Linked DNA regions of Alligator mississippiensis. The protein of the gene in region 1 interacts with the protein of each later gene in a pairwise test. Links are inferred from orthologs where the notes say so. Each region holds a gene or a part of one and is shown in the gene's direction. Other genes may lie near its edges. The genes, in order: ARID5A and SOX5.

Region 1 (15,816 bases):
GGAAGCGGAGGTCTCCAGCACCTGCGCCAGTTCACGCCATGTTCTCAGCTGCCCAGTAAAGCCGATGGCTATGAGCACTAGGCAGAATCCTTCCACAAGTGCTCTCCAGTGGGTGGTTGGCATGTGGGACAAGTGGAAGAGTCCCTGGTATCTCGGGAGCACTATAGGCCTTGATGGACCAGGCAGTGGGAGAGAAACGAGGGTGTTTGCTGGTGATCTCTTTAGGCAGTGGAGTTGGGAGGGAGGATGGACAAGGGTCTGGGTGCAGAGGACCCTTCCTGAGGTCTGACTCAAGGCCCTGCTGGTCTCCAAGCAAGCAAATCCATAAGCCTAGGATTATATGATCAGAGGGAAGTTGGGGACTGGAAGGGACCTCAGGAAGTCACCTCTCATCCACACCCGTGAGCAGGGCAGGATCAGCCCTGACTAAACCACCCCAGCCAATCTGGATCCAATCTGCTCTTGGAAACATCCAAGGATGGAAATTCCCCTCCCCTCTAGGAAGCTTGTTCCTTTGCTGGACCCCCATCATGATCAGAAAGTTCCTCCTTATCTCCAGCCTCAGTTTCCCTGCCATTGCTCCTAGTCTGGGAAAAGCCTATCTCCATCCTCTCTGTTGTCACTCTTTGAGGGTTTGAAGATGGTTGTCATACCCCCTTGCCCCCTCCATTGTCTACGGGTGCTCATTATGTGTAAGGCAGGCATGGGCACTCCGGCAGCCTCAGCTTTCTAGCTGCGAGGTTGCACCCAGGTGGCAGGGGGTTTCCTATGCATGGGCACTGGGGTGTTGGGGCTGGCAGCAGTCATGGCTGACGTGTCGGGGGTCTTTTCTGTGTCCCCAGCACACATATGGCTCAGCTTTGGGACTGGACTGGCAGGGCTTTAAGCTCTGGGCTTTGCTGGTTCAAGCCCAGCTCATGGTAGCCCCTTTGGCCCTATGCTTGCTTTCTGAGCAAGTCTGGGCAGGACATGTCTAATTTCCAGGTACATCTCCACACCAGTGAAGAAGCAGGTGCCCCAACTGCACTGCCCGTGACTTCCCCTCTCTCTGACTCAGTTTCCCCATCCCCTAAGCTGGGGGCAACACCCCTTGTCCGTAGCACGCTGCTTTGAGGTGTAGCCCTGAAAAGAGCTATCACAGCCAGTCTCACACTCTTTGCCCTCATCTATAACTGTATTTATTTTCATACCACATGCCCAAATACAAGATCCACTATGTTTTGGGTAAGGCAGAACAATGGGGGAAGGAAGAAGATTCTCGCTCTTTGCTTAACTGTCTAGAATCAGACTTGTTGCCCCCTCTTCTTGGCTTGCTAAATTGCAGGGACAAGAGGTGTGTGATCAGTGAGTAAATAAGGTATAAATCCCAGGGCTGGTCTCCAGCAGGGCCAGCGAAGTAGCAGCCAAGCAGGTTTCTGCTGGATCTCAGGGAAATCTACTCTGGTAGAACAGAGGCAGAGGAATAGATGCCCGGGGAGTCTGCACTCTCCATCACTAGAGGGGATCAAGAGGAGGTTGGACAGCCATCAGTCAGGGATGATAGAGGCATAGCTTTGCCTGTGCTCTGCTATGGGGATTTCCCAGGTTTTGCTAATTGCCACAAGGGGCTGAGAGGGAATTCCACACCGAAGCCCCCTTCCTGCTATGTGTCAGGGGTTTTTTTCCCCTTCCTCTTGAAGCCTTGGGTGTTGGCTGCAGCCCAGGCTGGGGATGGCGACTGGGCTGTGCCTGGGCTGGCGACTTGGCTGTGGAGGGTCCTGGCTAGAGGGTCTTGTCCCTCTGCTCAGGCCTAGACTGACACTGCATGGGCTCAGGAGGGAATTTTACCTCCAGCTCAGTTTGGTACAGACTGGGGGTAGGAGTTGCCTTCCTCTGTAGCCAGGGCACAGCTTCTACCTGGGATCCCTGGAGTGCCTGTTAACTACCTTTACAGCAGCAGGATGTTGGGCGCCACAGTCCCCCTGCTTTCCCTGTGGCAGGTTCAGGGAGATGTCTTGTGTCAGGGCTGACAGCAGTTTTGTTAGTTAGACAATAGGTTTGTCCAAGATGGTTTGGACAGGGCTGATCCTGTCTCAGGCAGGAGCCTGGACTAGATGTGACCTCCACAGGCCACTTAATTTCTCTACAACTTCTCTTCAGCTCTGCAATTTCTCTTCAGCTTAATTTCTCTACAACTCTATGACTATAGTGAAAAAGTCCTGGTCCTGTCTGTGCCGTAGCTTTCTCTGCCTGCGCTCGGGAGCAGGCCGTTGTTTTTGCTCTGGACTCTGTGTCCCAGAGCCCTCAAAATCTCCCGCATTGGCAGCCGCAGCGTAGCGCTCTCTCACATCCCGTGCGCTGGGCTCAGTGATGTAAGCTGATATTTTAATTCTCTTACAAGGAATGGTGTTTAGAGCAATGATTTAAGTGGATTACTCATCCGCTGTCATACCTTGGCCCCACGCCCGGTCTATTCCTAGACATGACGCTCCAGGCTTTGATTCTTCTTCTTTCTTTTTTTTTTGTTCCCCCCTAACGAGAAATTACACTCTTGTGTTTTTCAAAAGCTCTTCCCGCCCCTCCTGGGCCTGCTGCATTCTGGGAAACGTAGGCTATTTGCATTGAAGGAGCTGAAAAGGCAGCAGCTTCTTTTTGAGAGCCCAGAACCTGACTGCATTGGAAAGATGAAGGGGAGAGACCTAAGAGGGGAGAAGGGTGCAGATGCCTTTTGCACATCAGCTGCAAAAGTTATCCTGCATCCCATAATATGACGCAAGTACCTAGACTAGCAATTCTTAACTGGGGTGGTGCAGCACCCTGGGGTAACTTGAGATCCTTTCAAGGCTGTCATGGGGCAATGCTAGCACTATGAAGCAATCCATCACAATCACAAGAGATTTCCAATAGGAACACAGCCTGTCCCAACCCTCCTGCCCCACTGTGGGCTTCCAGAGGTCTTTGCCACAGAAGAATTGCTCTAGAATTTTTCTGGAGCAAACAAAAAGTTAAACTTTCTTGTGATGCCTGCGGCTTGCATTGGCACGAGAGGTGGGTGGATGGATGCGTGCCTCTGTGACTGGATCTTCTTGTGAATGAGTGGATGGAAGTATGGATTAATGGATGTGTCTGTCCTGGGGATGGGTGGACATGGTGTATGGAGAAGAATGGCTGGTGGATGAATGTGGTATATGGGGAGAGTGGAGGAAGGGAGGGAGGGATGGATGTGTGGGTGGGTAGGTGAATGACTGGATGACTCTGTGACTGGACAGCTGGATCTTCTTGTGATTGGATGGGTGAAAGCATGGTTTGATGGAGGGAAGTGATATATGGGGAAGGGTGTATGGATGGCTGTTCCATGACCTCCCTCTGCTCTCATAACATGGGGCTTGGGAGGGAAACCATCCCTCAGCCACCTGCTTTCCAGGGTGTTTCAGGGACCCAGGCCAGGAGGGCAGAAGTAGGGGCCACACACACTTCCCCAAGGACGGGAGCCCTCCTGAATTGGGGTGCATGTTGTAAGCAGGGGAGCTGATTTCCATGGCTCCTGGGGCTCTTCATCCTCCCTGGCTGCCTGGAGGAAGGGCAGAGCCCCACTCTTCAACATCACAGAGAGAGGGTCAACCCTGTCATGGCCCTGCCAAATTGGCAGCAGCTTTTGACTCAGCCAGAGCATTCAACTGCAGGGAGCCCATGTGGTGACTGTTATGATTCTGTGGAAATATGTATTTTTTATCTCCTTTCTGCGTTTCCCAGTGGTGGATGGATGGATGGATGGATGGATGGATGGATGGATGGATGGATGGATGGATGGATGTGGCATGTGGGAAAGGATGGCTGGGTAGGCAGATGGTATGTCTAAAAATATGGGGTGTTTTGGGGGAAACTTTGAGCCCAGTCTGCCAAGAGCTGTGCCTGGAAGTCCTCTGACAACACTGCTCTTAGTTCGCTGCCTTGGCTAGTCAAAGTGAAGCCATTCAGTTCAAACCCACATCTCATTTGCATGGCTACCTAGAAACACTGGGCTGGAGGGAATAAAGAGGCCAGCCCCCTGATACTATACTGTAGGTGCTAAGTCCAGAAGAGTCACCATGAACATGGGCTGTCCCACAGCCGAATATACTACAAAGCCCCTACCATATCCACTGGAGATTTTGAATAGTTTCCAACAAGCTGTGGGGAGAGGGCCAGAAGGACTTAACTTTGCAGCAGCAGGCTGCCCCCAGCACCCTTCCCTGTCACCAGGAAGGGAGCCCTGCCCAGCCCCTGAGTTCACAGAAGCCACAGACAACAGTTTGCTGTTGTGTATCAGGTACTGAGGGCTCCGGTGGTGCTCACGGGGCCTATCTTTGCCCAGCTGTGGGCCAGTTGGGGCTGGTGTCTCATGGAATTGTAGCACACAGGGCTAGGGAGAGGCCAAACAGTCTTGTTTATGGAGCTGCATTGGCCTGGGCAACTTCAAAGACTTGATGGGCTGCTGTGAAGAAGAGAGAAAGCCCTTTTGAGCATCAGGAAATACTTCTCTATCAGAGCAGCGAGGCAGTAGGATGGATGCCTAGAGGAGCTGCAGCCTCTCCATCACTGGAGAATTCAGAGAGAGGCTGGACAGCCACTGGTCAAGGATGATGTAGGCATAGTGACACCTGTGCTTTGCTATGGGCATTTCCCAGGCTTCTGGGCTTTGCTGGTTGCTCCTTTCCTGCCTTTTTGCTATATGTCTCAAGGGGTTTTCAACCCTCCCTCAGAGGTATTGGGTGTTCACTGCAGCCCAGGCTGGAAATGGTGACAGGGCTGTGCCAGTGCTCCAGCTGGGGCTAAAGCCGGAGGGCCCTGGCTAGCAGGTCTTGACCTTCCGCTCAGGGTGAGTCTGATGCTGCATTGGGGTCGGGAAGAAATTTTACTCCCTGATAAGACTGGTATGGACTGGGGGGCAGGGAGGGTTTGCCTTTCTCTGTAGTGGGGGCACAGCCTCTGCCTGGGACCCCTCAAGTATTTATTAACAACCTGTACAGCACTAGGACGTTGGGTGCTGCAGCCCCCCTCTTTCCCTGTGGCCGATTCAGGTGTGTTGTCTGGTGTTGTGTCAGAGTTACCAGTAGACTTTTGTTGAGTTTAGATGATGGATGTGTCTGGGATGGTTTGGACAGGGCTGATCCCACCTCAGGCAGGGTTAGGACCAGAGGTGACCTCTGCAGGTCTCTTCCAGCCCTACTTCTCTGTGACTCTATGGGTGACTGGAAACCACAGGCCTTTGTACCCACTCTATCCGGACCTCAGCCCCATGGAGAGGGCCCTGCCTTGTGGTGTCCCAACCCCTTCTCCTCCTGAAGTCCATGGGAGCTGAGCAGTGTTGGCCTGGCATGTGATGGAGGAACTGTTGCCTTGCCTTCCACAGATGCCCATGGCTAACCCCGCGTGGTCAATCTGAAACCCACAATGCTCTGACAGTTCCACGCCTGGCTACCTCTGATGCAGGCTGCCATCACTGCTGAGTAGCAGCCACACTCTCCATCGACCCCAATGGGCATTCACCTCCCTGGACATCCCTGCTTCCCCCTCCACCTCTGTCTCTTTTGTTACCACCGGCTCTCAGGTCTCGCTCTGCTGCTCTCCTATCAGTCCCGTCAGGGGATTCTGGGGACAGTTCTTCAGAAAGGAGACTTGAACACAGAGGAGGAAGTTGTAAAAACCAACTGTGGGCTTCTCAGCTTGTTCACATGCCTCTCCCTTCTCTTGTGCTCAGAGCCATTCTCCCTCTTCCTTCAGCCCCTTCCTTCACAACCCAAAAGAGAGGAAATCATGCTGCCTTGCAGCAAAGATTTTGGCAATGATAGTGACACTGCTCTGAAGCTGGAGTCAGTGAAATTGCAGCTGGAAGGGGCAATAAAGCCCCTACACTACCCTCTCTCACCCTGCTGCTGCTGCCTCTCCCTAGCCCTCCCACCCTGCTCCCCTGGGGGTCCTTCTCCAGGCTCCTCACTAGGGCACGTAAGTGTGTGGCAGGGTTTGAGGGCACAAAAGTATCCCGATGCCCCTTTATAAATCCCTGGGGCAGCCACACCTTGAATACTGCACCCAATTCTGGTCCCTACACTTCCAAAAGGAGACAGAAGAACTAGAGAAGGCACAGAGTGCAACAAGGATTTTGCAGCATGGAGGAGCTTCCATATGAGGAGAGACTAATGAGAGAGAGTGAAGTGGATAGATAAATTAGATAGATAGAGTGTGGGGTGGATAGATAGATGCATAAGCAGACTGTGGGGTGGATACATGGACAGGTAGAGTATGGGGTGAATAGATAACTGGATAGGGTGGATAGATGGATAGACAAGAGCGAGGGGTGGTAAATGGCAATTCTTATGTTCTTATGAGTCACTTTCTGGACAACAGAGCCTACGGACTGCTTAAACTGGTGGTTCACAACTTTGACAGGAGTCAAGACACCCCTCGTTAGACCTAACATCCCACCTTGTTAGACTGCAGACTCTGCTTGGACAATGCCAGATATTTGCTTTTGCTTGTTCCTTGATGACAGAACAATCCTGGAGTGATTCTTTGGCAAAGACCTCAGCAAGGTGCCAACAGGGCTTGGATACTTGATTCCTATTGGAAATCTCTGGGTTTCTCTTGTGAATGGTATACAGTGTTAGCACCCTTTAAAGGAATCATGGCAACCCCAGGTGAGAATCACCAGTGTCAGCGTGTTAAGGCCATGTGGAAGCCTGGCTGGTATCGGTGTCCCAGCGCCTGCAGCTCTTCTGAGCAGAGACACCACAGGAGGCAGAACCATGGGGGCACAGTAGTTCCAGCAACATGGACCTGGTCCCACTGCTGTAACCACATGGGTGCAAGGGTTTTACTGCCATACAGGAGGCATGAAACCACTGCCCCAACGGCTCCACCGCCCCTACAGTTCAATGCACCTTCTGTCCACCCAGAGGCTTTGCTGGGCTGCTGTTAAGACAGAGTTTCAATGTAGCTGCAATGGCATGAATGACCAACTTGCAAACTCCTTCTCTCTGTTGGTACGGCCGTTATGGATGCGAATTGAGAGTGTCAGGTTTATTAGCAGCACTGGACTTGCTACTGAGCTAAGAGACTCCATCTGCACCTGTCCGGTCAGTTTTGAGAGTAAGTCATGAGTCTTAATTGAAATAAAGCCCTTTTGCCATGGGAGCGGAAGCTGGAGAGAAAAACCAGATTTATTTACAGGCTCCAATGCTGTCAGTTGGCTCCGTAAGAAGGGCCCGGAAATAGCAGAAAGGGGAATTGAAACAAGGCTGTTAGAGAAAGCTGCTGCTAGAGCCGGTCAGAAGCAGCCAGCCGCGATGTCTTTGGGAGCCCTGGCTGGGCCTCAAAAAGGACTTGGGAAGCCGAGAGTGTCCAGGGGGAGCAGCAGCCAGGATGTTGACAGCCGTGGCAGCAGCAGCGAGCCTGAAAAGTCCATAGCAGTGATTCTCAGCTGGAGGACCCGGGAGACTCCTGGAAGGGGAACTGTCAGGTGTGCAAACGCCTACACAATTCACAAGAAAAATACTGTGATTTCTCATCCACAGTGTCCCAACCCTCCTACCCTACTGGTGTCGTGCTGAGGTCTTTGCCATAGAAGAATGGCTCTAGGACAGTGGTTTTCAACCTGTGGTCTGTGGAGCCCTGTGGGGCTGCAGGCTGTGGCTAAGGGGCCTGCAAAAGATGACCGCAATCAATCAAGAGTATGTGAATATCCACCCTTACAATTCAAATGGGTCTGTGCCTCTGTTTGAAATTCCCAAAGAGGTCCGCAAATGGAAAAAGGTTGAAAACTACTGCTGTAGGATTTTGCCAGCATCAAGAAATGAGTGAAAGTGAAGAGTGGAGGCTGACTGGCGGGGACTGGAGAAGACTGGGACCCTGCTTGGCCGGGGGCGGACACTCGCCCACCGGATCCCGGGTGAGGGACCAGGGCCGTGGATCGCCGTGCCCCTCCAGCAGGGGGCGAAGGTGGGACTACAACTCCCAGGGTGCCCCGGGTCGGGGAGGCGGGGCCCTGCGGAGACGGGCAGCGCGTGTGGCCAATGGGCGGCCGGGGCCGGCGGGGCAGCGCGGCGGCCGGGCGCGGAGCTCAGTCGGGCTCGGGAGCGCTCGATGGAGCGGGCGTCGCGGGGCTGGGGTGAGCGTCGCGCGGGGCTTCGCACGCGGGACATTGCCCACGTAGGGCAGTGCGCCCCCGCTCTTTGCACGCTGGGGCTTGCATGCGCGGGACGCTGTACACGCGGGCACCAAGTTGCACCTCCCGGGGGCGTGTCGCCGAAGCCGGGGCTTCCCGGGCGCATGGCGTGGGCTGCCCGTCTCCCTCCGCTGCCGGGCCTGCCTCAGTTTCCCTGTGTGCAGGAGGCGGGGGGCGCCGCCCTGGCCCCCTTGTGGAGTCCTGGCGGGGGGAGCCCCCCAGCTGCGTCCCGGAGGTGGGGAAGCTCCGTCCCGGTGCCAGGGGGCACCATAGATAGGGCTGGCAGGACTTGCACCCCGTCCCCTCGCCGGGGCTCCGGGGAGGCTGGCGGGGAGAAGGGGCCGTGCCCAGCGGAGGCACATTATGGGGCGGCGGGGCATGGAGCTTCCCGGAATCGGCGTCACGGCCGGTACCGCCCGCGCTGGGCGTGTGCCAGGGCCCGGGGGGCTGCTTGTCTCCCCACTCACACGAGCTGGGCTGGGAGCGCCTGCATCCCCGGGGCGCGGGCAGGCATAAGCATGTGCGTGTCCAGGATACCTGGGTTCCCCACAGGACTTGGCAGCACCTTGGTGCTTGCCATCGGTCCCATCTCTCCCAGCTCAGCTGTGGCTTAGCTCCCCGTGCCTCAGTTTCCCCCACTCCACAGAGTGGGAGCAGTTGTGGGCAAGTGCTCACCATGGGTTTGGTGGCTGAGGCTGTCTTGCCCCCCTCAGGTACGGGCCTGAGCCGCAGAAACATCAGACTCCCTTTCGCTGCCTGCCTGCCTCTAGGAGGTCCGTTTTCCATGGCTGTTAGCTCCATCACCAGACCGGTGCTGGGGACTGCTGCTAATAAGCCAACGTGGAACACGGGGCAGAGGGGCATCACCCCATCTGGCACTTGTCTGGATCCCCCTGTGCCCCCCTGATGTGCTGAGATCTGGGAGGCAAGGGCTGGAGCCTGGGATCTCCCCTCTACCCAGTGCTTGCTGGGAAGGATGGCAGAGATGTCCCATCTGCCGTGGGCGGGGCAGGGCCGGGAACAGGACGTCCTGGGGGCTGGCAAGAGGCCCGTTCTCTGCGGCTCCAAGCCGGGAGGGGGCTGAGTCTGCACGGGGGGGGGGGGAGATGGTGGTGCCCCAGGGCCCATGTGTGAGGGATGGAGGTCTCGGCACTGGTGGGATGTGAGCCAAGTGAGGGTCCCGTGGGGCATCAGCGTCGTGGTGCTCCCCACCCCCATGCCAGGGGGCTATGCAGGGTCTCCTCAGGGGGGCAGGGTCTTGGGGGTGCTGGACAACATCTTGGCATTGTCACAGTGTGGCACCAGGGTCCCCACAGCAGGCCTGAGGCAAAGCTGGGAGGCTCCGTGGCCAAGGGGGGGTACAACTAGGGGACTGTCAGCCGGGGTTGGGATGAGGGGTCTTGGCCAGCTCCAGCTGCTAGAGGCATCTGCCTTGGCCATGCCGGGGCTGCTGAGGCAGCAGGGGGGACATGCGCAGCTCTCCCCCAATTCCAGGAAGCCGCCCTGAAAGTGAAAGTGCAGGGTGCTGTTGATAAATGCAGGAAACGTGTTGGCTACGTAGCCTCATTCTTGGAAAGCCCAGCATGAGCCCTCTCTGCTCCCCACCCCCTGCCAGCTGGCTGGGTGGCCTGAACTGCCCTTGCACTGGGGACAGGCATCTGCCAGGCTCCCTCCTCAGTGGCCTGTCTCCTCTTCCTCCCCACAGCCCCTAGTCCCAAAGGGAAACACCAGAAGAAGGTGCCGCCTGCCATGGAGGAGGAGAGTGTGTCTCAGCCAGGTGCTGCTGATGCTGCTGCACTGGATGCTGAAGAGAACCCAGGTCCCACTGACCCCACACCCCAGGCGGTGAGTGAGATGGGGCACCACATCCCCTTCTGAGGGTCCTGGGATGCGCTCGAGTGCCGGGAGATGAAGAAGTTGTGGGGAGCCATGTCTTCAGCTGCCCCCGCGAGCCGGCATGAGGGCTTGGGGCTAGTCCAGCCTGCATGCACAGCACTTGAACCACTCCAAGCAGGCTCCTACTGGCCTCAGTCTTGGCTGCTTGTCGCCAGCATCCATGACTGGGTCAGGCCAGGGTTGGTCCTGTTCCTTCTGGACTGAGGGGCAGCAGCACAAGTTATGTGTCCCAGGGCGAGCATGGGGGCAGGGGCAGGTGGGTGTTTGTTCCCTGGCCCCCTGTGCCCTCTCCCTGGCATTGAGGCAGGGGAGAGTTGGAGGAGCTCCATGGAGCAGTGGGTTCCAGGCCAGGCTGGGGCTTACAGCTGGGCATGACCCACAGTGTGGAAACCCAGCCCTACACCCTGACATCCAGTGTTGGTAACCCCAAAAGGGGACTGCTGGCTACACACAAGGCCCCCACAGCTCTTCCTGGCTTCTAGTTCCATTGTTGGAGGCTGCTGCCTATGTGGCAGCTGAATGAGTGTGCCAGTCTCTCTCTCACGTGCATAAGTGTGTGTGGGGGGGTCACAGCCATGACAGAGCATCCCATGGTGCCCTGGACCACAGCACAGCCAGGGTGGTGCTGCCCATCACAGCATTAAAGTACATGGGTTCTGGGATGCATGTCAGGTCTTGCCTTGAGGCTGGGAGCTCCCCAGAGCCTCTGTCAGTGGCTGGACCCTAAGCCCCCGGCCGGCACCTTCCATAGGGCCGTGGCCTGGCATGGAGGTGCCACCACTGTGGACATCTAATTGGTTGGATGCCCTGGAGCTGTTATGAGAGGCATCCTTACCTTCAGAACCAGACCCATGGGGTCTTCCTGGCATGTTGTCTCCTAGCATCAGGAAACACATAGGGCCTGAGGGGGGCACTGGTCATCCCTGACCAGTTAGTTGCAGGGTAGAGGGGAGATTTCTCCCCTTCAAGGCCAGGGGCCAGAGCATCTCAGTGCTGAACTCAAGCTGCCTCCACCCCATGGGGCATGAGAGACAGCAGGGGTGGCTGGGCAGGGCCAAAGATATCCAGCAAAGCCAGGCCTGCAGTGGGCAAGATGAGTTTGTTGGGTCTCAGTCCAACTTCTGCCAGGCAAGAGACCCTCTCCATGCCCTACTGGGGCAGGCATACGTGGGCAGGGACTCTGCCAAGGTCCTGGCAGGCTTGGGGAGGAATGGGATAGCAAGCTGGAGATGTGCCCAGCAGCTCTGCCCCCTCTCCCCCCTTCCCCTGCCTGATCTCAACTCTGCTGGGGCTTAAAAAAACAAACCTCCCCCCATCCTCAGAGGCTGGGTCTGTCTCCGCCTGCGGCGAAGAGACACAGAAGAAGTGGCGGAAGAAGAGAAAAAAAAGCAAAGAAAGGGGTCTCCGGAGCCAAGCAGCTGCTTTGCCCTAAAATAGCAGCGAGTTTTCTAACTCCGGAAAGCACAGAGCAAACACGGAGCGGTGTTTTCAGCCCGGCGTGAGGCTGGGGGAGCAGAGAGGGAGCGAGAATCTCGGTCATTCTGTTTTCCTGGAAACAGTTCCCCGTTCGTGCTCCGCTCTGACCAACTTGGCCACCTGCCCGGGTGGGAGGAGCCATGCTGTTTCTGCTAGAGCCGGTTGGGTGCTGTGGGCCATGGGGCTGGGAGAGGGGAAAAGGCCCCAGAGGCATGGGGGTGGGCTCTGGTGATGAGGTAGGACGGCAAAGGCAGTATTGACTTCTGAGGAGCCATGGGACATGTCTTGCCCTGGGAGTCTGGGCTGCCACCTGGGACTTCAGGGTCTTCCAACAGGCTCTCGCCGGTTGGGGCCCAGACTCCTGGGCTCTGTCTCTGGCCGCTCTTGCTGTCAGGGCAATGGGGAACTCGGAGCCTGGACTCCTGGGTTCTCTCTTTCTCTGGCTGCTTTAGGAGTAGGGCAGGCTCTTGTGGTCAGAGCAACGGGGGATTTGGGGCTTGGACTCCTGGGTTCCCCTTGGCTCTGCCAGGACCAGGGCCGAGGTCGCTCCGGCTTTGGCAGCTCCCGGCCCCTGTGGCTGAGCGTGGGGCTGTCTCTTTCTGCAGGCCAGTGGCTCTGAGGGGGAGCAGAGGGACCCCGCAGGGGAGCTGGGCGAGGACGCAGCCTTGAGCGGTGAGAAGGAGGAGGAGCAGGCCTTCCTCGTTGGCCTCTACAAATTCATGAAGGAACGTCGCACGCCCATTGAAAGGATCCCCCACCTCGGCTTTAAGCAGAGTATGTCCCCTGGCACCTCTCGGGGCCTTCCAGAATCCTTTGCTGGTCCCAAATCTGCCAGACTTCTTTACTGACAGCCACAGGTCTGTGTGGCACCTTGCCTGTGCCAGGCTGGCCTGGGCAGGGCCCTGATGTGGCAGCACCCCAGGGAGGGCTGCGGCTGGGTCCTGTGGTCACTGCAACCCCCCAGCATGGCTGAGGTCCCCCAGGCCCACCTGAGCAGGTTGAGGGGGGGCAGTACTCTGGCTAGGGCACGAGGATGGTTCCCCTGGGCCCTGCCCTCACTCTGCTCCCGTCCGTGTGTCTGTCCAGTTAACCTGTGGAAGATCTACAAGGCCGTGGAGAAGCTGGGTGCCTACGAGCTGGTGAGCGGAGGGGAGGGGCCGGGATCACATCCTCTGGGCCTTGTGCCCAGCTGGTGACTGCTTATTCTGGCCCTGGCATAGGGGGCAGCAGAGCTCCAGCCATGGGGCAAGGCAAGGGGAGCTTCTGGGCTCTCCTGGCTTGCTGAGCTGGGCTGGGGCCATGGGGACCAAAGCTTGGAGCCAGATCCCAGCTGATTTTGGCCCCTGGGGATGGGTGGGAGAGCAAGTCAGAACTTGGCAATGCTCCAGCTGCAGGTCTCCTGAGCTGTCATCGCCCTCCAGATCAGGGCTCTGCTCGTCCAGCCATGCCCTAGGGCAGGGGCACATGAGGAAGGCGCTGGGCACATCCTGGGGCCCTCACCTCCCTCCCACCACAGGTCACAGGCAGGCGGCTCTGGAAGAACGTCTATGATGAGCTGGGCGGGAGTCCTGGCAGCACCAGCGCAGCCACCTGCACCCGGCGCCACTATGAGAGGTATGAACCCCTACTGCCCCACGTGCCACCTCACCCATCTACTCCCTTGCTCATGGCCTGGGGGACCCCAGGTCTCAGCTCTAGGCCCTGCCAGTCTCCCTGTTTGTTCTCCATCCATTGAATCTCTGTGCCTCAGTTTCCCCAAGGGTGCAATGAGGGCTGATACGCTGGCCTGGCAGGGAAGTGTGTGACACCCTCAGACCCCATGATGGGACCACTGGCTGCACTCACCAGGATCTAGTGCCACCTCTGGAGTGACCACAGGGCCATGGGCCGCTGTTGTGCGCCGGTTGCCTGGCTTCGTTGCAGCTGCTGCTCTGGCTGGCAGGACCAGGCCCAGTGCTGGCCACGGCTGCAGCCTCCTGATGGCATGTGCTTCTTTCCTGACAGGCTGGTTCTCCCATATGTGCGGCACCTGAAGGGCGAGGATGACAAGCCACTGCCCCCCACCAAGCCCCGGAAACAGTACAAGGTCTCCAAGGAGCCGCGGACCAAGAAGGAGAAGAGCCGGCAGCAGGTGCAATGGTTGGGGGGGGAGAAGCTGACGCGGGCTCATCCCCAGGGTCCCCTCCAGGACCACCCCATGCATGGAGCCTTGGGATCGGGGTGCCAGGAGAACACCAGGGGCAGCAGGGAGAAGGAACAGCTGGCCGCGAGCCTAGGGTGGGAGAGCGGTGGGCCCAGGGGCCGCATCTCACCCATGCCCCAATCCCTCTGGTTGTAGATTCCGCTGGAGAAGACAAAGCTGGATGCTGCCTCCACTCCCCAGCCTGGCAGGGAGGTGGTGCTGGAGCAGAACCAGCCCCGGGATCCCAGTGAGGTGGCCCAGCCCCCCACCAACTGCCATGGCCACTGTGAGGCCCTTGGCTGCTCGGAGGCATACCAGCGTCTCTTCTCCAGCTTCTATTTCAAAGGCAACCACCCCATCATGTCCCCCCTGGCCAAGAAGAAGCTGCTGGCTCAGGTGAGCAAAGCCGAGGCCCTGCACTGCCCCGAGGGCCATTGCCGTGAGGGCTGGATGTCAACTGGCCCCTGCCACAGCCCCGACCACAGTGCTGCCAAGCCCCAACGCCGTGAGGATGGCTGGAGCCCTGGGCCACAGCGGGATGACACCGTGGACCCAGCCCACTCCTGCCCCCCGAGCACAAATGAGGGGGCGCTGAGCCCACAGGCTGAAGAAGGGAGCCTGGGGCGACGCCTCTCACCGGTGCCCACCACCTTCACCGGCTGCTTCCGGGCCTACCGGGGAGAAGTGCTGAAGCCTATGAGTTGCCGCCCACTCCGGGCCCCTGCCGGCTTCCCTGATGCCTCCTTCCTCTGCCAGCCTCCCAGCAAGGACCCACCCCTGTCTGACCACCCACGGGGGGAGCTCAGAGAGCCCCTGGAGGGGACGGGCTTCCGGCAAGGCAGCAAGGCTTTGGCCTTCCCTGCCAGCAAAGCCTGTTGGGTGGCTCCCATAACCAGCTTGGCTAGAGTCAGCCCTCAGCCATCCAAGCCTGGGCAGAGCCCGGGGCTGGGCAAACGTGGGCCAGAAGATGGCAGCTTTGGCCCTGGGAAGAAGCTGAGGGCCGTGTCCCCGTTTGTCAGGGAGGCAGAGCCGCGGGAGGCTTCGCCTGGCCTAGCCAAGCCACAGGCCGTGGCACCTGGCTTTCCCACACTGCTGCCACCACCCGGCCCAGATGCCTACACAGGGACGATGCTGAGGTTTCCACTGAGCTTGGCTGGCTCCAGGGAATCATCGCCACTCACACCATCCCTCAGTCCCTTTGTCATCCCAGCCTTCCCAGGCCCTGTGATCACTGCCTCTGCCCAGGCCTCTGAGCTGTGCCGGCCACTGGCGACCAGCCTGGCACACTACCCCACATCGTATGACAGCTCACAGCGGCACCGCCTCTATCCTGTCGCCACATGGCACAGCCAGCCTGCCTATGCCTCCCCCCACGGCTTCCACCGCCCCACCAAGCTGTAGCCTCTGGCCAAGACATTCTGGGCCAGGACATAGGGGCTTGGTGTGATGTACCAGGCCACCTGGGAACATGTGATCCACCCACATAGGATCCACCATAGCTACGGATCCCACAGTCACGTGACAAAGGGCCAAGGGAAAGCATCACATGATCCGGACCTTGGGACCATGGAACTGTTGGGATCTGATGCTGTCCCCCTTGACAGGGCTCGTGTAGCAATGTGTTATGGGAAGGGGCTTTATATAAAGTCAGAGCATGTTGGAGGGGTCTCACAATCGTGCTGTGGACTTCGGTGATAAACCTGCCTGAGAGGAAGAGAGCCCCTGGGGTCTCCTGGCTCTTGGGAGCCGGTGCAGGGCAGGGGAGGGGAAGGGAAGGGGACCTGTGGCTAAATCAAGTGGAGTTGGGTATGCAAGTGTGTCTGAGTAAGCATGTGTGCGACACTGGTGAGTATGACTGTTTGAGTGTGAGATGGACTGAATGTGTACGTGTCTGTACGAGTGCACATTGTGTGACTGCGTGCTTGTCAGTGTGTGATACACTGAATATGTGTGTGTGCATGATGGACTGAATGCGGGTGTGTCTGCATATATGATAGTACATGCAAGTGTGTGATGGACTGAATGTGTCTGTGTCTGTGTGACTGTTTATGAGCATGTGATGGAGCGAACGTGCATGTGA
Region 2 (15,978 bases), on another chromosome or scaffold:
GGACTGCCCCCCACCAAGCTGGGAGCAGGAGATAGAAGCGTGGCAGGGGCTTCTCTCCCCCTGTGGCAGACTGGGGCTGAGGTCCTGTGTGAGCCTAAAAGGGGGTTTAAACCCCACTTTCCTTGCCTCAGCATGCTGGCCCCAGGCCAGAGTGACCAGGCGCCCCACTGTCTGTTTGAGTTGGGTGGGCAAAAGCCTGGCAGGGGCTGCCCCCATCAGACCCTGGCTGGGGTCCCGTGTGGACTGGGAAAGGGTACAAACTAAAGGTGCACTGATACATTGGTCCAATATCAGATGGGTACCATGAAGAAAATTGTCTATATTGCATAACGGCCCTATGGGGCTGATAATTTGGCCAATAAATGCCTGTGCTGAGCACAGCTGCAGCGCAGCACGGAGCAGAGCCAGCAGCATGGAGATCTGCCTCCAGCTGGTAAGTCGGAAGGAGAGGCAGGAGAGAAGGGTTGTGTGGGGGCAGATCAATGCCCCCCGTGATGAGGGAGGGGCCAGGCATTGCCCAGGGGGACAGGGGTGCGTGAGACATGGGGTGGAGGCCGCTTCCGCCACTGCTTGCACCCTGGGAGCGTGGGAGGGGATGCTGTATCAGGAATCGGAGGCAGCTGTATTGGACATCGGATTGGTATCAGCCGATACATCCGCGTGGCACAGGGCAGTCTGCAGCTGCAAGGTGGAGCCGAAGCCGGTGCTGCGCAAGGTTTTTCTTGCTGGGGACTGGGCTCAGAGCGGGCTCCAGTGGCACTGGGAAGAGACTGCAGCCACCCCAAAATTTGCCTCAGCTCCACTCCCAACCCCACACCACCTCCCGCTGTAGCCCCATCTGAACACTCTACCTCCACCCATGTGCCAGGAAAAGCCAGGGCTGCTCCGGGTGGTGGTGCGAGACTGAGAGTGGAGCTGCGGCAAAATCTGGGGTGGCTGCAGCCTCCTCCCAGTGCTGCTGGAGTCCACTCCAAGCCCAGCCCCTGGCAAGAAAAGCCCTACGCAGTGCTGGCTCTGGTTCCACCCCATAGCTGCAGCCCGCCCTGCGCTGCGCTGCACAGATCGGGGGAACCCCCCCTGCACTCCAGGAGTGCAGGCAGTGGTGGGAGCCACCCCCATCCCATGAGCCAAGCCTCTGTCCCACGCCCCCTCCAACCTCACTCCCTGCTCAGGGCGGGGCAAAAGCCTCACTGGGGCTGCCCCCCCACCAGGCAGACTCCATGTAGTGTCCCCTGTGGGCCAGGAATGGGATTTAACGCCCCCCCCCCCTCCTTTCAGCATGGTGGTCTGGGCCAGGAGTGGGGGATAACCCTGGCAACCCCCCACCCCAGACAGACCCAGGCTAGGGTCCATGTGGGCCAGGGAGTGGGGTTTAATGTCCCCGTCCCCCTGACCTTAGCATGCTGGTCCCAGGCTGGGGCCTGCCCATGGCCACTCTGCTTGGAGGGCTTCTTTCCTCCTTTCCCTTTGGCAGTGGCTGGCAGGTGCCCAGTAGTACCCCCCAGCTTCTGGCCTCAGCCAGAATGTGGCTGCATTTTCAGAATCGGACGCGAATGTCTGTCTGTTCACTTGCTTTTCAGTTCAATCTATGCAGTTTAGATTAACCTACAAAGATTGCATCAATTCAGCCTCTGGCTTTTTGACTGTCTGTACTTAGCCTTGTTGCCTAGCCAGGGGAAAGTGAGATGTAGTTAGTTCTATGCTCTCGTTCCACCCCCATCCATTTATTAGACTTTCTTAAGGCTCCGGGGGCCTATTTGTCCACTTATACCTTACTTTGCCTCCATGTAAATACACTGGGAATTAGGAACTCTGTTCTTAGGATGCAGCTGCATCATGGAGATACACTTAGGCTAAAAATAGGATTTGGAAAGCTAGTACTTGGGAGTTAATTAGAATTTTACTTTACAGCTTATTGTAGATGTCCAGTGTTGAAAAAGGGTTAAAGAGTCAGCTTTTAGAGAGAACAGTTCTGGTAAATTTTGTGCCTAAGGGAAGCGGGGAGACTGCAGACTGAGGTTCCCCCTTCCTTAGCCTCTGCCCCCTTCTTGCTTAGGAGGATTAAAAAATGAGCTGAGATCTCAGACAAAGTTGAGGAGGGTCTGTGCCAAATTATGGGTTTTAAGATGGGAACCCTGCAACTTCTGTGCTGGACCTGTACATGAAAAATGGAGTGAGGGCATAGTATTAATACAGTTACGGCCTTTTGAGGAAATCTATCCCTGTACTTTTCTTCCATCTGTGTGTGTCCACTTCAGTTATACACATCTTTAATTTTACATGTGTGAGTAATTTCCCTGAAACCAAAAGGTTACTTATGGTACTAGTATTCACAAGTGTTTTCAGAGCCTTACTATGGGCCTATGTTATTAAAAGAGAAAGCAGAGGAGGGTTACACCTTAAAAACTAACTCAGTTTAGCCCTTAAGATGCCACCGGGTCCTGCCTTCTGCTTGACTTCAGACTAACATGACTATTATTTAAAGTGAAAGAAAATATAAAATTGAGCTTCTAACTACTTAGAACAACTAAGAGTAAACAGCTTCACTTTTATTTCTAGTTAGCTTAATTTGTTTTAAGGGAACAGTTTAAACTACCCAAATCTCAGAAGCCCAAAGGTAAAAATATTTTTCCCCATTTTGGTTTTTGAATTAACATAGCTGTTTCTTTAGTTTTTTCCCCCACCTCCCAACCCCAAACACAACACATTTTTCTTTATTTAAAAGAGCCTAAATGTGGTATCTCAACTAAGTGAAGTCTCCCTTATAGTTTTTCTACTGTAACTCATTTTATCTCATGGATATTTAGTCTGAAGACAAGTATCTAAGGAAAAGCTGCATGAATAAACAAGGGGTCCTATATAATGGACAAAACAATTGTGCCATTTAATTAATCAGAATCTTTATTGTGGTTTTATTGAAAAAAGTGCTCAGAAGTCTAGTCGAAATATTATATCTGGGATTCTGTATCAAACTTGTGGGGGAAGGGTACCAGTTCTGCATGAATGCAGATTGTTTCATTTGAAATATTTTAGGGTTTTTTTTCCCCTCACAGGAATCAAGGCAGATGACACGATGATGTTATGATGGAGACGTGAGTAAATACTTACTACGTAAAATCAAGAATGATAAAGTAATAGTCTGGGAGCAGGTGGGATTATTCTATTAACCTGATAGCTCTTACAGCAGTGAGGGCTGATACACTCTCACACTAATATGGAGGTATATTAATTCTCTGGCTGCTTCTTGCTTTCACTTTGATTGTAAGATCATCATAATGGTCCATTGTTACACAAGCATGCTGAAAATGTTAAAGTATTTGGACCTGATTTTGTAGCCATTTACATTGGTCTAAGGTGTATAGAAAACATTACTATATCAGAATCACATTAATACCTACTTTTTAGCCGTGTAAATGACAGTACTAGATCCGTGCCAGTAGAAAAGTCTTGTGTTTTTAGAGGGATAAAACAAAAAGGAATCTGATAGTTAATTTGTTTGCATAGCCTAGCATGCAAGCTTGGCTCATGGGCCCCAATTCTGCAATGTGACATGAACTATGACTGCTGAAATCACTGGATGCCGTGCAGGCATGGGGATTTACCCAAATTGTTTTCCCGCCACCCTCGAAGTACTGAGAGTTTGAATGAAATTGGATGTACATTTCTAACCAACTTCACCAAACCAAAAAATAATAATAAAAAAAAGCTTATGGTAGTGATTGTTTGAAATCTTTTATCCAAATACCCTGGTGTTTGGCAGCTCAGATAAAACTGAAACCTTATTAAAACCAATTCTTCTTTGGGTTTTGAAAACTAAAGTCCATCCAAGTTTTGCAAAAACAGCACTTGGAACAAATGGTATAATTTTTGGTCTGCTGTTTTCTACCCTTCAGTAGGTAAGGCACAATGAAAATCATATTTGACACTTATCTTGTTGTCTGGGGGAGGAATGTTATCCTCTCTCCCAGCTGTATCTATGCTACCTAGTACTCCAGTGTATCTGCTAATGTTATGTACACTTATAAACATTTGGGAGGAGATGGAAATCAGGACACATCTTTTAGGTTCTACTGAAAATAATTTGACTGACTAAACATTTGAAAGCACCCAGCAAAAAAATGGTAACTTGTTTTAACAAAAAAGTAAAATGAGACTTCCTACACAAAAAAAGATGAGGCAGTTGGTGTTCATGATGACATCACTAGTTTGTAAAACTAGAGGCATGGAGGCCTGTGAGACAAAATTACCACATTAATAAAGATAGGATCAAATGCAGCTGGCATCAGGCCAATGGGGCTTTTTGTAACTCAATTTTTTCCACTGAACGTCTTCATACTACTGCAGAAGTGGAAAAAAACACATCCTAGAGAGCGTAATGCAATCTTTACACCTGTTGTTTTTTGGATTCTAAATAAAATGCATTGAGACCCTTCTTTGGCTTTTTCTTTAAATCCTGCCCCTGACAATAATCACTGAATTTCCTTTCTTGCATTCAAATGCTGCTCCGTTGAATGGGCCCACCCAGTGTCATCACCAAGCAAGGAGCTGAGGTGCTTATAGGGAAAATAGGTTCCATCATGTGAGGCTAAAAGGCGGCTGAAAGGGCTGAGCAGTCTAAAGAACATTCAGTCAGAGTAACCGGAAGAGGCCTGACCTAAGGCCCATCATTTATGGCTTTGATTACAGAAAAGGGAGTTGAGCAGCATTGTGTGTCTAGGTTCAGTCCGGCACTGCCCTATGCTGTATGTAGTTATTTTATAGAATTGCACAGTGGGACTAAAATACAACCATTTAGTAATGGGTACCATTATACTCCTACTTTGTAATGGTGTAAATTGTTGCAGCAAAAGCAGGACAATGGTGAATCAGGTCTTCTGTCCATGTCCTTCCCCCACCTGTGCACACTTCCTACTGGGACTTCCTACCTTACAGGTATGGAGAATGCAAGTAAAAAGAGTGAGAAAGCTCTGTCTCTGGCTGTTTTGTTGTTTTTTTCCCTTCTGTTTCCCCACCCCCGAGAGTTTGAAGTCTCATTTATGGGTATTATCCATGCTGCTAATGCTTTCTGTCCTTTTGCATCAAAGAGTAAAAATCATTTAGGGATGCGCACACAGAAAGAGATCATATACAATCAGGCATCCAAGCAGAAAAAAATGATTGCGATGCTCATGAATTGTAAAGGCTGACTTGTTAAGTCCCTGAGAAAGCAGGGAAATTACTGGACTCGTCCCGGTATCAAATATTGGTAGGAGATAAGCCTTCTGTAGCCGAGATTAATAATAACCGAAGTTACTCTTCTTTGAACGATTTGGCTGGGGGCGGGGGGGAGTTCTGCATTTCCCACTGGCTGTCACAAATCAAGTGACACTCGAAGCTGGCCTGCTCAGGCAGTTTATAAAAGCACGTGCTCACTAATCAATTAAAAACAAAAGCCCCTTGCAAGTAAACACAAGAGCAAGCCACAACCCCCCAGCTCTGCTTGCACAGAGCCGACCTACTTGAGTAATAAAAAAGGACGCGGATCGCCTCTTTTCCCCTCCCGCAGCTCCAGGGTGTAGATCTGAAGATGTCTCTCTCTGTCTCCCCCCCGCCCCGTGAATGCATCGGGAGTGGCGTGCGCGGGCGGCCAGAAGTCGGCTTGTCTGCGAAGTGGGGCTTAGCCCAGCCCGAAAGGGAGAGCGGAGCGGGGGAAATCATCCACACGCGCAGCAAGCGCACGCCCCGCCGCCGAGCCAGCCGCCAGCCTCAATTGTAGTCCTGCTGGGATTAAGAGTAAACAGTATGTGGTCATTGATCTCGGGGTCGTGGTGTTGCACTCTGGGAAAGGCTGGGGGTGCCTGGAGACATGGCTGCGCTCAACTGAGGCGCTTCTGAAGAAAGATGACAGAAAGAAGGGGGTGGGGGGAGGGCATTCACAGGGGGGGAGAGACTAGGAGAGCTAGGGATCAGAGGGTGCCCCACCCCCCCGGCCCGCCACCGTCACCGCACAGGCGCCCGGCCGGGCCCCTGGAGAGCGGACAGGCACAGGGGTGTGTGTGTGTGTGTGAGAGAGAGAGAGAGAGTGTTTTGGGGGAGAAGTGACAGGAGGAGATTCTCTCCTTTCCTCGGGAGGGCGGGATGAGAGAGACTTTGGGGGCATAGGTGACAGGTTGAGATTGTCCCCCTTTGCGTGCGCGTTTGTGAGAGAGTTTGGGAAGTAAGGTGACAGGTAGAGATTGTCCCCTTTGCTTGCGTGGAGGGTGTGTGTGAGACGGAGGGAGAGAGTGTGCGTTTGGGGGGAGAGATGGCACGTAAAGATTGTCCCTTTTGCTTGGGGGTGTGTGCGTGTGAGAGAGAGAGAGAGAGAGTTTGGGGGGAGAGGTGACAGGTAAAGATTGTTCCCTTTGTTTGGGTGGAGTGTGTGTGTTTTAGCCTGCTCTGGGTGGAAGAAAAACAAATCCGCTGCTGTTTCCAGTACATGAAAGTCAGCGTAGAGGAGATTGCTGGGACCTGCTCGTGGGTTGCGCTGTGCTCCAAGTCTGGGCACACTTTCATCACCCTGCATTGCCGAAGGGCTCCCGCCTGCTGATGTAACTTTTGGGCAGGACTTCTCTGTGTGCCGAGGGAAGCCGATGGGCTCTTTCTCTCCCTGGAGCAAACCTATTAGCGTGGATGAGCCCCACGGTGACTCTCAGATGCTTTTAAAACCGCCACCTTCTTAAAGAGTGCGTGGCTGTTTCAGCTCCGATTCATTCCCCCCCCTCCCCCCTTTCCCGCCGGCGCCTATTGCACTGGTTTCTCCCCTGCTTGTGAGAGTGGGGAGGCGAAAGAACAATAAAAGAAGCTCAGACTACTTCACTTACTAGCAGCTTCCAAAAAATAAGGGGGGGGGGGGAGAAGTCGGGATCAGGAAAGTCTCCAGCCCAGGGATAAGGAAGATTAAGAAGGGAAGCTGAAGGCTCCCCAGAAGCAGGAGGCGGCCGTGCTCTCCTGTCCTGGGGGTCACTCCTCGCGCCGTGCGCCTTTCCAGCGCGCTGACAGGGGCTCGCCTGGCCAGGGGCTCCTGTGGACACCCCCCCCCCCCCGAACACTACTAGAACCACGGCCAATACGCGCACACACCACCAGCACCCCCAGCAACAACCAACACACACACACCCCAGCACACACCCCCAACACATGCACCAGCACTCACACCAGCACGTACACATGCAACACACACACCCCCTCCACCCCCAGCAACAACACACACGGTCCACCAGCACACACCCCACCACCCCCAGCACTCCCCCCCGCATCAACAACATACACACACCACCAACACCCCGCAGCAACAGCACCCCCCAACTCCCGGCTGTTTGCTCGCAGCGAGGAAAGGCGGGGGCCGGGCCGTCCCGGGACTCGGCCGCCCGTGGCGCGCAGTGCGGTGCGGTGCGGCGCGAAGTTGCGGGGCGCGCGGGGGGTAGAGCCGCAGCCCGGCACTGGCTTGTCCGCCCGGCCCAGCGCGGCCGCCCGCAATGGGCAGAGCCGGCTCGCAGCGGGGCGGGCGAGGCGGGGCGGCGCGAGGGGGGCTCCGGGAAGGAGGTCAGGGTTTGTTTAGGAGAGATCAGAAGGGAGCTGAAGTGCGAGCTCCCCGCTCCCAGGGTGTCGGAGGTGGCTGGAGACTGCACAGAAAAGCTTCTCCTCCCCCATTGTTCCCACTGTCTCTCCCTCTCTTTCTGTGGGGTTTTTTTTGCCTTTTGTTATTTGCACTCGCATTGTGGTGTTTGTCTCTGAAGCCGCCTCATGACCAGCGCAGGGATTTCACCTCGTCCTTGAGGCACAGGCGCGCACGCAGAGCGGGAGAAGGGGCCGAGCGGCAGCCCGCGCCCCCTCTGCCCAGCCCCGAGCATCCTCCCGCCTCCCTCTCGGGCCAGGACACGCTCCGCACGGCGGGTAGGTGCGCGGCCGGCTCCGGGCCAACTTCGGGGGCAGGGCCGGGGGCCCCGGGCGGCTGCGGGGGGCTGGCAAAGTTTGGAGCAACTTGTCCCGCCTTTTCCCCCGGCCCCGATCCCCCCCTCGGATCCGTCCCAGCGGCGCGCTGCAGGGCGAGGAGCAGAGCCGGTCCCCGAGCTGGGCTGGGCTGGGTTGGGCTGGGCTGCGGGCCCCGGAGACAAGAGGTGCGGAAGGGAAGAGAAGGGAAGGGGGGGGGGAAGAAACCAGCCCCTCTACCAATCAGTGCGCGGAGCCCTCCCCCAGCCCGACTCTGCCTGGTCCAGGCACTGATGGCCGGAAAGTTAAGGGACTTGACTCTAGAGGGGGAGGTGATGAGCAGCCCCCGGGGAGAGCGCCAATAGTCACCCGCGGGTAAGAAGTGTGGGAATCCTCCCCTACGAGGGACCTGCTTCCTTAGTACTTAGAAATAAGGGCCCTCAGCCTGGCTGTGCTATGCTTTGCTTTTTTGGTTTAACCCCCACCAGCAGCCCAAGGCAACTGAGGCATGTGGGAGGCATGCAGGCGGTCAGCACATCCATCAGCAGAAAAGAAGAAAGGGGCTTGAGCAGGATTTTAGGCAAGCGGGGGGGGGGGGCAACCACTGAGGAGCTAGATGCCAAGCAGATTGGAGGTCCTAGGTTGTTTCTGATGTTAGGCAAACCAAATGTTAGCCTTAGACGCTTTTGAAAATTTGGGGATGGATTTTTAGAAGGATGCCTCCCCCTTGCTTTCAAGGAATATGTTCAGTTTTTTGCTTTATTCACATCCAGGGAAGACACCTTATTCCAGGTGCAGAGCAACAGAACACAGCGGCCTGGTTCTTCCTCCTGTGTTAAACTCGGCTCGCAGCCCACTACTTAGCTAAAGTCAGCAGCTGAGGTTTAAAAATCAGATTCTTCTGAGCCAGGGGCATTTCTTGGGCTTTGTACAGCAAGTGATAGCCAAGTATTGTAGCCCCAGAAACTTGCTTGATGAAGGATACTGTATCTGTCATGATTTCTGTAGCTCCTTAATCCTTCCCAGTGGTAGAAAATATCATTGCCTCAAAGGTAGATCCTTCTTCCTGTAAACTGTGCTGTTTACAAATATGGAACTAGGATTGAAGGGGTAAAGTTTTGTGTTTTGAGATCCAGCAAGGTTACAGCCACAATGTTTGTTTTGTAAAGTTCTTCTGTGCTCATAAAAGGGAAAGGCTGGCATCATTTTGTTCAATGGATAGCATGTATATTACTACATAATTTGACAATGAAAACCTGGCTATTATGCATGGAAATCTTATATCAGAGATTTTTTGTTGTTGCATTTAAACTCACTTGGTTGAGCGCTACACTGTGTGCGACACAGAACTTGAAAGCCACAAACATCTCTTGTAAACAAACTGACATTTGAGATGGATTGGCTATTTCAAATTAACTCCATTCAACTACATGTATGTGCAGATGCATTCAGTTTAGTCTAGCATAAGTTTTTATAAATGTTGGAAGCTAATACATGCCTTTGGAAAGCAAATATAAGCATATACATATTCCCTATATAATGTTATGCTTCTGTTTACAGAAGTTTTCCTAGGCCATACTTGTTCTGCTGTCATGATCTTGTAGTAGCAGGCAAGAATCACTCAGTAATTCTTTAGATGTTTACTAGTAAACACTGAAATGGTAAGGCATATGTCTGAGATGCATACATTTAGGATAATATGCTGGTGCCTAACCAGCATATTATCCTATATTATCCTATATTATCCTATATATATATATATATATATTATCCTATATATTATCCTATATTACTGCATCTTCGTATTTTGTATGACTTGCCCCGCTCGTTTAGGCTGATCAGCATTGTTAAGCTGCCAGAGATTTAGCTCATATTGATAATTTCTTAATGTTCAGGATTGGGAAACAGTTCTTCCCAGATAGTTATCCTAAAGTTCTACAATTAGGCCTGAAATAAGTTTACAAGTAACTTTAAATACTAGTATGGAAAGTATGAAAGAAACAAAGCACCAATAAGTGTGGGTTGGTGGTGCTGGCAGTATCCTAATGCAGTATGTGTAAGAGGAGCTTTGCCTCTGCCGTAGTGCTCATACCTATATAAAATCCTGTGATGTAGATTTATGGATAAATTGAAAAACAGCATTGTGAAACATGTTCTAAGATTCAAGAGAAAGTAATGAGTGATCCTTCCAAAAAATACAGCAGAATGCTACAATATTGCCAAAACACTGCAGTGATGTTGGTGGAAGCCATGATATTCTTTGACCATTATAAATAGATTAGTATTATTATAAGAATTCTTTTCTCATTAGCAGTGAAGTATGTTTTCCTCTCTTCTACATACAAACAATTTGGTGTTCATTGAACGGGCCAGGAAATACTCCCACTGATGGCAATGGGAGCCATGCCTGCAAAAGTACTATATAACTGGGCCTCAGGCTGTTGGAGTGACCTTTTACAATGTGTAGGTTTTGTTTAATATACTATAAACTCTCCTTTTGTAATTTTGGTTTTATTTCCTTCCACTTTTTTCTTTCTCTCTCGAAGACATTAGAGATTGTTGTATGTGGTAATTTTCAGATCCATATAGGTTTACACAAGGGTTTGGTTCAAGGTTGAACCAAAGGTTAATTCAGATTCACGGTACTGAAATATTGCAAGTTGTTGGAGACTTCTACCTCTTTTGGGTCTGTACCAGTTCCAGAAAAGTTTCTTTCATATTAGTTAATAGACCAAGTTCTAAGATCAAGAAATTTGAATCCAAACCTGTCTCCCCTCTTGAATTTCAGAATGGAAGAGAGACCTCAGGACTCAGACTTAATGATCTGGTCTGGGAAAATCTTTATGATGTTTTTTATTTCCTTTCATTGGCATTTTCTATAGAGGGTGAGAATGCAGCTTGCTTAGAGAAGAGGAGTATGTTTTTGCACTTATGCACAGGCTGCTAAAGGAGCTGAAGTCCCATAAGTCACTTGCTACATTGAGAGGCACCTTAGAAACATGTAAGATTAACTCATTCTTGTAGTATTTTGCCCTTGTATGCCTCATGCCTCTTTAAGGGTAAGGCATATATATGTACAGTGTGTGTTTATAAGCAACATGCATAGTCTGCACATACTTTGCTTTTTAGTTGTGGAGAGCATATGCCTCCTTAGTGTCCAAAGAGGGTCTTGTCTAATATTTTTGACAGCTTTATTTTCTGTCAAATCCAACCTGTCTCTCTCTTTCTGTGGATCACAAACATGAAATAAGACTCAGGTAATCCACAATGGGATCTATTAGTATTGGCCATTTTCAGAGGCACAAAGGACAATTACTTTCTTTTCCTACTGATCTCCTGCTGGCTTTCCATCCACTTGGGAGGCAGGTGATTGTAAGAATGCTATTTTGCCCAGTACATCAAATACCTACAGAATCTTTGCTTGCTAAAGTTACTGTTCCTAAACCCAGTGGCAACACCAGAAATCGAACTTGAGTGGCCCTGAGCACCATCTCCTACTGTGAATGAGTCACATAGTCATCAGCACTTTGCAGAGTTAAATTTTATCCACTGGCCCCGACAGTGCTGGCAATTGTCAGCTAAAAGACCCTTTAGTGAATTGTCCCTTAACAGAGAGTCTTTCCCCCCTCCTTTGTTGTAGTTTTAATTTAAAAAATATCCTGGAAAGGCTGGTGGCAAAGCAAAAGAGCATTCCTTTGCCCAAATTTTCAGAGATTAAGGAATTAGGAAACAAACTAAGGAATATGGGTCAAAGGTTACTTTTTTGAAGGTTATTTTTAAAGAATAGCACCTCCCAGAATCTCATAGAGCTCACAGTGCGGAATCATACATTGGCATATAGGGGGTTTGTGACCCATTGTACAATACTGGGGAAGAGTCTGTCATGTTTTGGTTTGATATCAGATGCCGGAGATTTGGCACCAGAGAACCTGATGCTGCTAGTTACTGAGCATTTTTTAAGAGATGCTGCACACCTAAACTCTCCATCGAAGATGTTCATTATCTCCTGGGAGGTACTCAGAACTTGACAGAGTAAGGAGCATAATAGAGAATGAGCACTTGGTTGCCTTACTAGGGAAATACTTACGTTATTGGGCCAGAGTCGAGCTGTAATTAGGGGCCTGCAGATGTTCAGAGTTACCCCGGTTTAACTTTAAAATGTTTTAAAAACAAATTTAGTTAAACTGCTACAAAATGCAGCACAGTCACTCTTTAAATCTAATTTAAACCTCTTATTTATGTATTCAATTTCTTTACTCAGTTAAGATAAACCATTGACTGGTTTAAATTAGATTAAGAGTGTCTACACTATGTTTTGCAGCTGTTCATGTAAATCAGTTAAAATCATACCTTTAGTTAAGCTGATCCAGGTTGGAACAAAGTTTATGGGTTCTGCATCTTTAACTGCTATCAAACAAAAACTGCTAATTGATGTGAGTAGAAGTAAGTTTTCAGTTTTTGGTAGTCTTGTCTGATGTTTTTGATGTAATCAAAAACTATGGGAAGTATTTGTAGTATCTTGGCTAACTAAGTGTTTATTCAATCAGAACATATGGATTAAAAAGTTAATTTACAATCTTTTTAAAAAATTAAAATACCTGTGACTATTTTAATGTCTCTATTTAGTGAATGGAAGTGTTGTTTCTCTCAGCAGGGAATGCCATTTTTAATGATACAGCAACTTACCTCCTAGCAGGAGGCAATCCTCACGAGGCAGATGTAAACTGAGAAGAATTCAGGACCCATCAAAAACAGTGGAAATCAATTTCAATGGGATGTTTAAGGCAGGACCTAATTTCTGTATTTTTGGGTTGACATGCTTTTCATGTAACAGGTGTCTAAATTAATCTGTAATCTGTTTTATTCACAGAGGTGATTTGTTTGAATATTAGAATTTAATTCTGGCACCAAAAGTCCCACTAACATTAGTGTTAGATTTTGATGCTTTAATAGTATATGTGGAGGCAGGAACATATATACCCACATATTAGTCTCCTGTGTATAATGGACATAATTTTAAAATGGGGTTGGTGATTTCAGGTGCCTTGGTTTTCTTGATGCCCAGTTTGATATACCTTACAGTTTCCTAATTTTAAAATGACCGATATTTAGTACATTTGAAAATCAACCTATCTTAAAGTAAGTCAAGAAGGGTGCAAAAATCACTAGATCCTTTTGAAACTGGCCAATATGTGCACACATAATGTGCATGTTTGTGTAAGTATGGGTACATATTAAGTGTTTTGCCTGGATAAGGACATCAGGATCAGATTTTACCAGTCACAAAGGTGATACTGATTTTACCAGTATCACAAAGGTGATACTGTAGTGCTTATCAGTCAAACCACAAAGGTAATATTGCTTACCTGTAACCACAATTTACTTCCTGTGAAGGGTACACAGGCTCCTGTATTTAAGAATCATAGATAATTGATGTGAAAGATGCAATATTCCACGTTGCTCATCCACATCTGGAAGAAGATTGTGTGTTTAGTATATGGCAGATAGTGGGTCTGAAGCTGAGTCTTTTATAAGTCAAATGTAAACTGCCATTAGATGCAAGACCATCCTTGTTCTGTGGAACAAGCATTGACCACAGTCATGTCTTTGAGGGTGAGAGAGGATGTATATGTGAATCATGCTGCATACATTTTGCTGTGGTAAAGATTAATGAGTTCAAGGTAATTAATTAGCTCCAGTTTACAGGCATGAGGCCTGGCCCATGCATTATGTAGTCTCAAATTTAGGATGAGGTGTTTTTTTTTTTTGTTCTCAATGCAAACTTGTTGATGACATCAGTTTCAGGCCTGCTGCCAATAACCAACAAAGATAGAGTTGGAGTGGAAATTATTGAGGTAGTTGTCAGTTCTATAAAACAGTTTTGAATTGAAACCTGAAATTATATATAATGAGGCATTCCTATAAACAGGGTTGCCTTAGGTGAGTAACATTTTGGACGGTATGATGGAAGTTCTGCAATTGTAGGGGAATAATATTAAGTCTCATGAGGCAGATTACAAATGAAGGAATGCTGATGCATATATACAAATATATATATGTGAATTTAGTGCTTGTGAAAGGCAATTGATAGACAGTTCTGGAAACTGAAGGTCTCTATCCCCTAGAAAGGTGTAACAGATAGCAACAATGCAAAATTGTGTGCACTGCATTGTCACTGGGACCTCAACATTTCTCTGTAGAGAGCTCCTCGAGGAATAAGATGACACAGTCTACCCCAGGGGTCAGCAGTGTTTTTGGGCAGAGTGCCCCAAAACACCTGCAGGATTGACTTGTAAGATCTTGGCGTGCCAGGGGCAGATGGCAGGGGAGCTGTGAGGTGCCTGATTCTTGTCATGGCAGCACAGCCCCCGCCCCTTCCCCACCATCTGCCCCATGGCGCACATGCCAAGCAAAATGCCTTTGCATGCTACGCTCTGGCACCTGTTCCAGGGGTTGCTTACTCCTGGCCTACCCATTCAGGTCCTGATCCAGTAAAACACTTATGCATATGCTTTTATAGAAGCATGAGTAGAAGGATTGCTCACTAGAAGTTTAACACATTTGAGTGATGTGTTGGGTAGAGGACTTAATTCTTGAATTTTCTGTTGATACTGCTAATGAGAGAACTGATTTTTGTGGTTTCTGTTATTTGATGTCTTTTCTGTACCAGGAACCATAATGAGACCACCATCTCATTTCACACAGGTCACCAAGAAGCCTCAGATGATAGAGATATGCGATACGCTTTAATGAGGCAGAAGAAGGTGCGGGGAGGAGGAGGAGAACAAAGTCTTGCACTTTGCAAGCAAGAATGTTCCCTGTTTATCACTCAAACCCTGGTGCTTTGGATTGGTAGAGGAAGTGGCTTCTACTTGGAAGCTGTAAGTTGAAAAATGTATAAAAGAACAGAAAAGAAGAAAAAGATTCAAACGCTAATATGTGCACACATGTGTATGTGAGCATGTGTGTGCGCACACACACATGCACACAATTCTGCTAATGTTAATGGTATTTTATTTGAATTTGAGACACTTCTCCCAATATGTATATATTTTAGAATAATATTTGATTTGATTAAAACATCATTACTATCAGCAGGAATACATGTATAAATCCTTGCAGAATATGTTGAAAGTGAAGCATAAAGAATTAGCATTCAGAGACTTTAGTAACATTTCCACTGCACAAAGTTGTAAAACTTTCTGAAATCCTTGCAGGTGTTTTATTTCTACTGTCCTTTATTTTGGAATTCTATTCCTTTGCCCTTGTTAGGAGGCAAAATATTTGCAATTGTCTTTTTATTTTTTCTTGATTATATTTTAGTTTATTTTATGAAATATTTACAAATCTGAGTTCATTCTGTAGTCCTGGCTGGTTATTTTTCCGAAAGCCAATATTGTGTCTATGACATAAACCATGTAGTTCATGAACAAGCCAAAGTTCAGTTAATTTCAGTGAAAATGACACAGTTTATGGGCCTAATCCTCAACCTGCTAAAGTCAGTGGGAGTTCTGCTATTAATTTAAGTGGTCACATGAACAGACCTGATCCATCCCAAATTATATGTAGGGGGGATCAAGTCTTATCTCTGCCTGCAATTTTTGAAGGAGACTAAGGGAGTTCGGCATTCACTTTCCTCTGAAATTCAGTTGATTTGAAGGCATACTTTCCTTAGTAGGAAAATCTCATCCTCCCAGTGAAATTAGTGGAAGATTTGCCATTGACTTCATTGATTTTAGCGGGGCCAGAATTTTACTTACTGTTTTACAGTTCAAGAACTAGAGAATCTTTTCATTGACTTTGTATACCTATAAGCCCCTTATACTTATTTCTGATTAGTTTCCTTGTTATATAGCTTTTAAATGTTTTTGTTTTTCTGACCATTAATTGCTTTTCTGTGGAGCTGTGCACTTGTTTATTTTATGTTATTCAGTTAAGTACATGGTTAAAGAAAAATAGGGGGAGAAATGAAGACATGATCTTTTTTTTTCCCCTGAAAGAAAACATCACCTGCAAAATTCCTTTAAA

What was found.
Region 2: the proteins of ARID5A (region 1) and SOX5 interact in a two-hybrid assay, tested with the Homo sapiens proteins (2 studies listed by BioGRID and IntAct). The two-hybrid records come from large-scale screens. The link is inferred for Alligator mississippiensis from reciprocal best matches to the Homo sapiens genes ARID5A and SOX5.

Annotation. Positions count from the first base shown.
Region 1 is NC_081830.1:10,572,369-10,588,184, reverse strand, and holds the start of ARID5A (AT-rich interactive domain-containing protein 5A), read left to right. Parts: upstream 1-8,029; 5' UTR 8,030-8,100; coding exon 8,101-8,125; intron 8,126-8,183; exon of another isoform or gene 8,184-8,417; intron 8,418-9,887; coding exon 9,888-10,027; intron 10,028-12,159; coding exon 12,160-12,328; intron 12,329-12,640; coding exon 12,641-12,693; intron 12,694-13,070; coding exon 13,071-13,168; intron 13,169-13,558; coding exon 13,559-13,685; intron 13,686-13,892; coding exon 13,893-15,137; 3' UTR 15,138-15,816. UniProt on the Homo sapiens protein: DNA-binding protein that may regulate transcription and act as a repressor by binding to AT-rich stretches in the promoter region of target genes.
Region 2 is NC_081827.1:124,853,159-124,869,136, forward strand, and holds the start of SOX5 (transcription factor SOX-5), read left to right. Parts: upstream 1-7,576; 5' UTR 7,577-7,914; intron 7,915-12,799; exon of another isoform or gene 12,800-14,831; intron 14,832-15,978.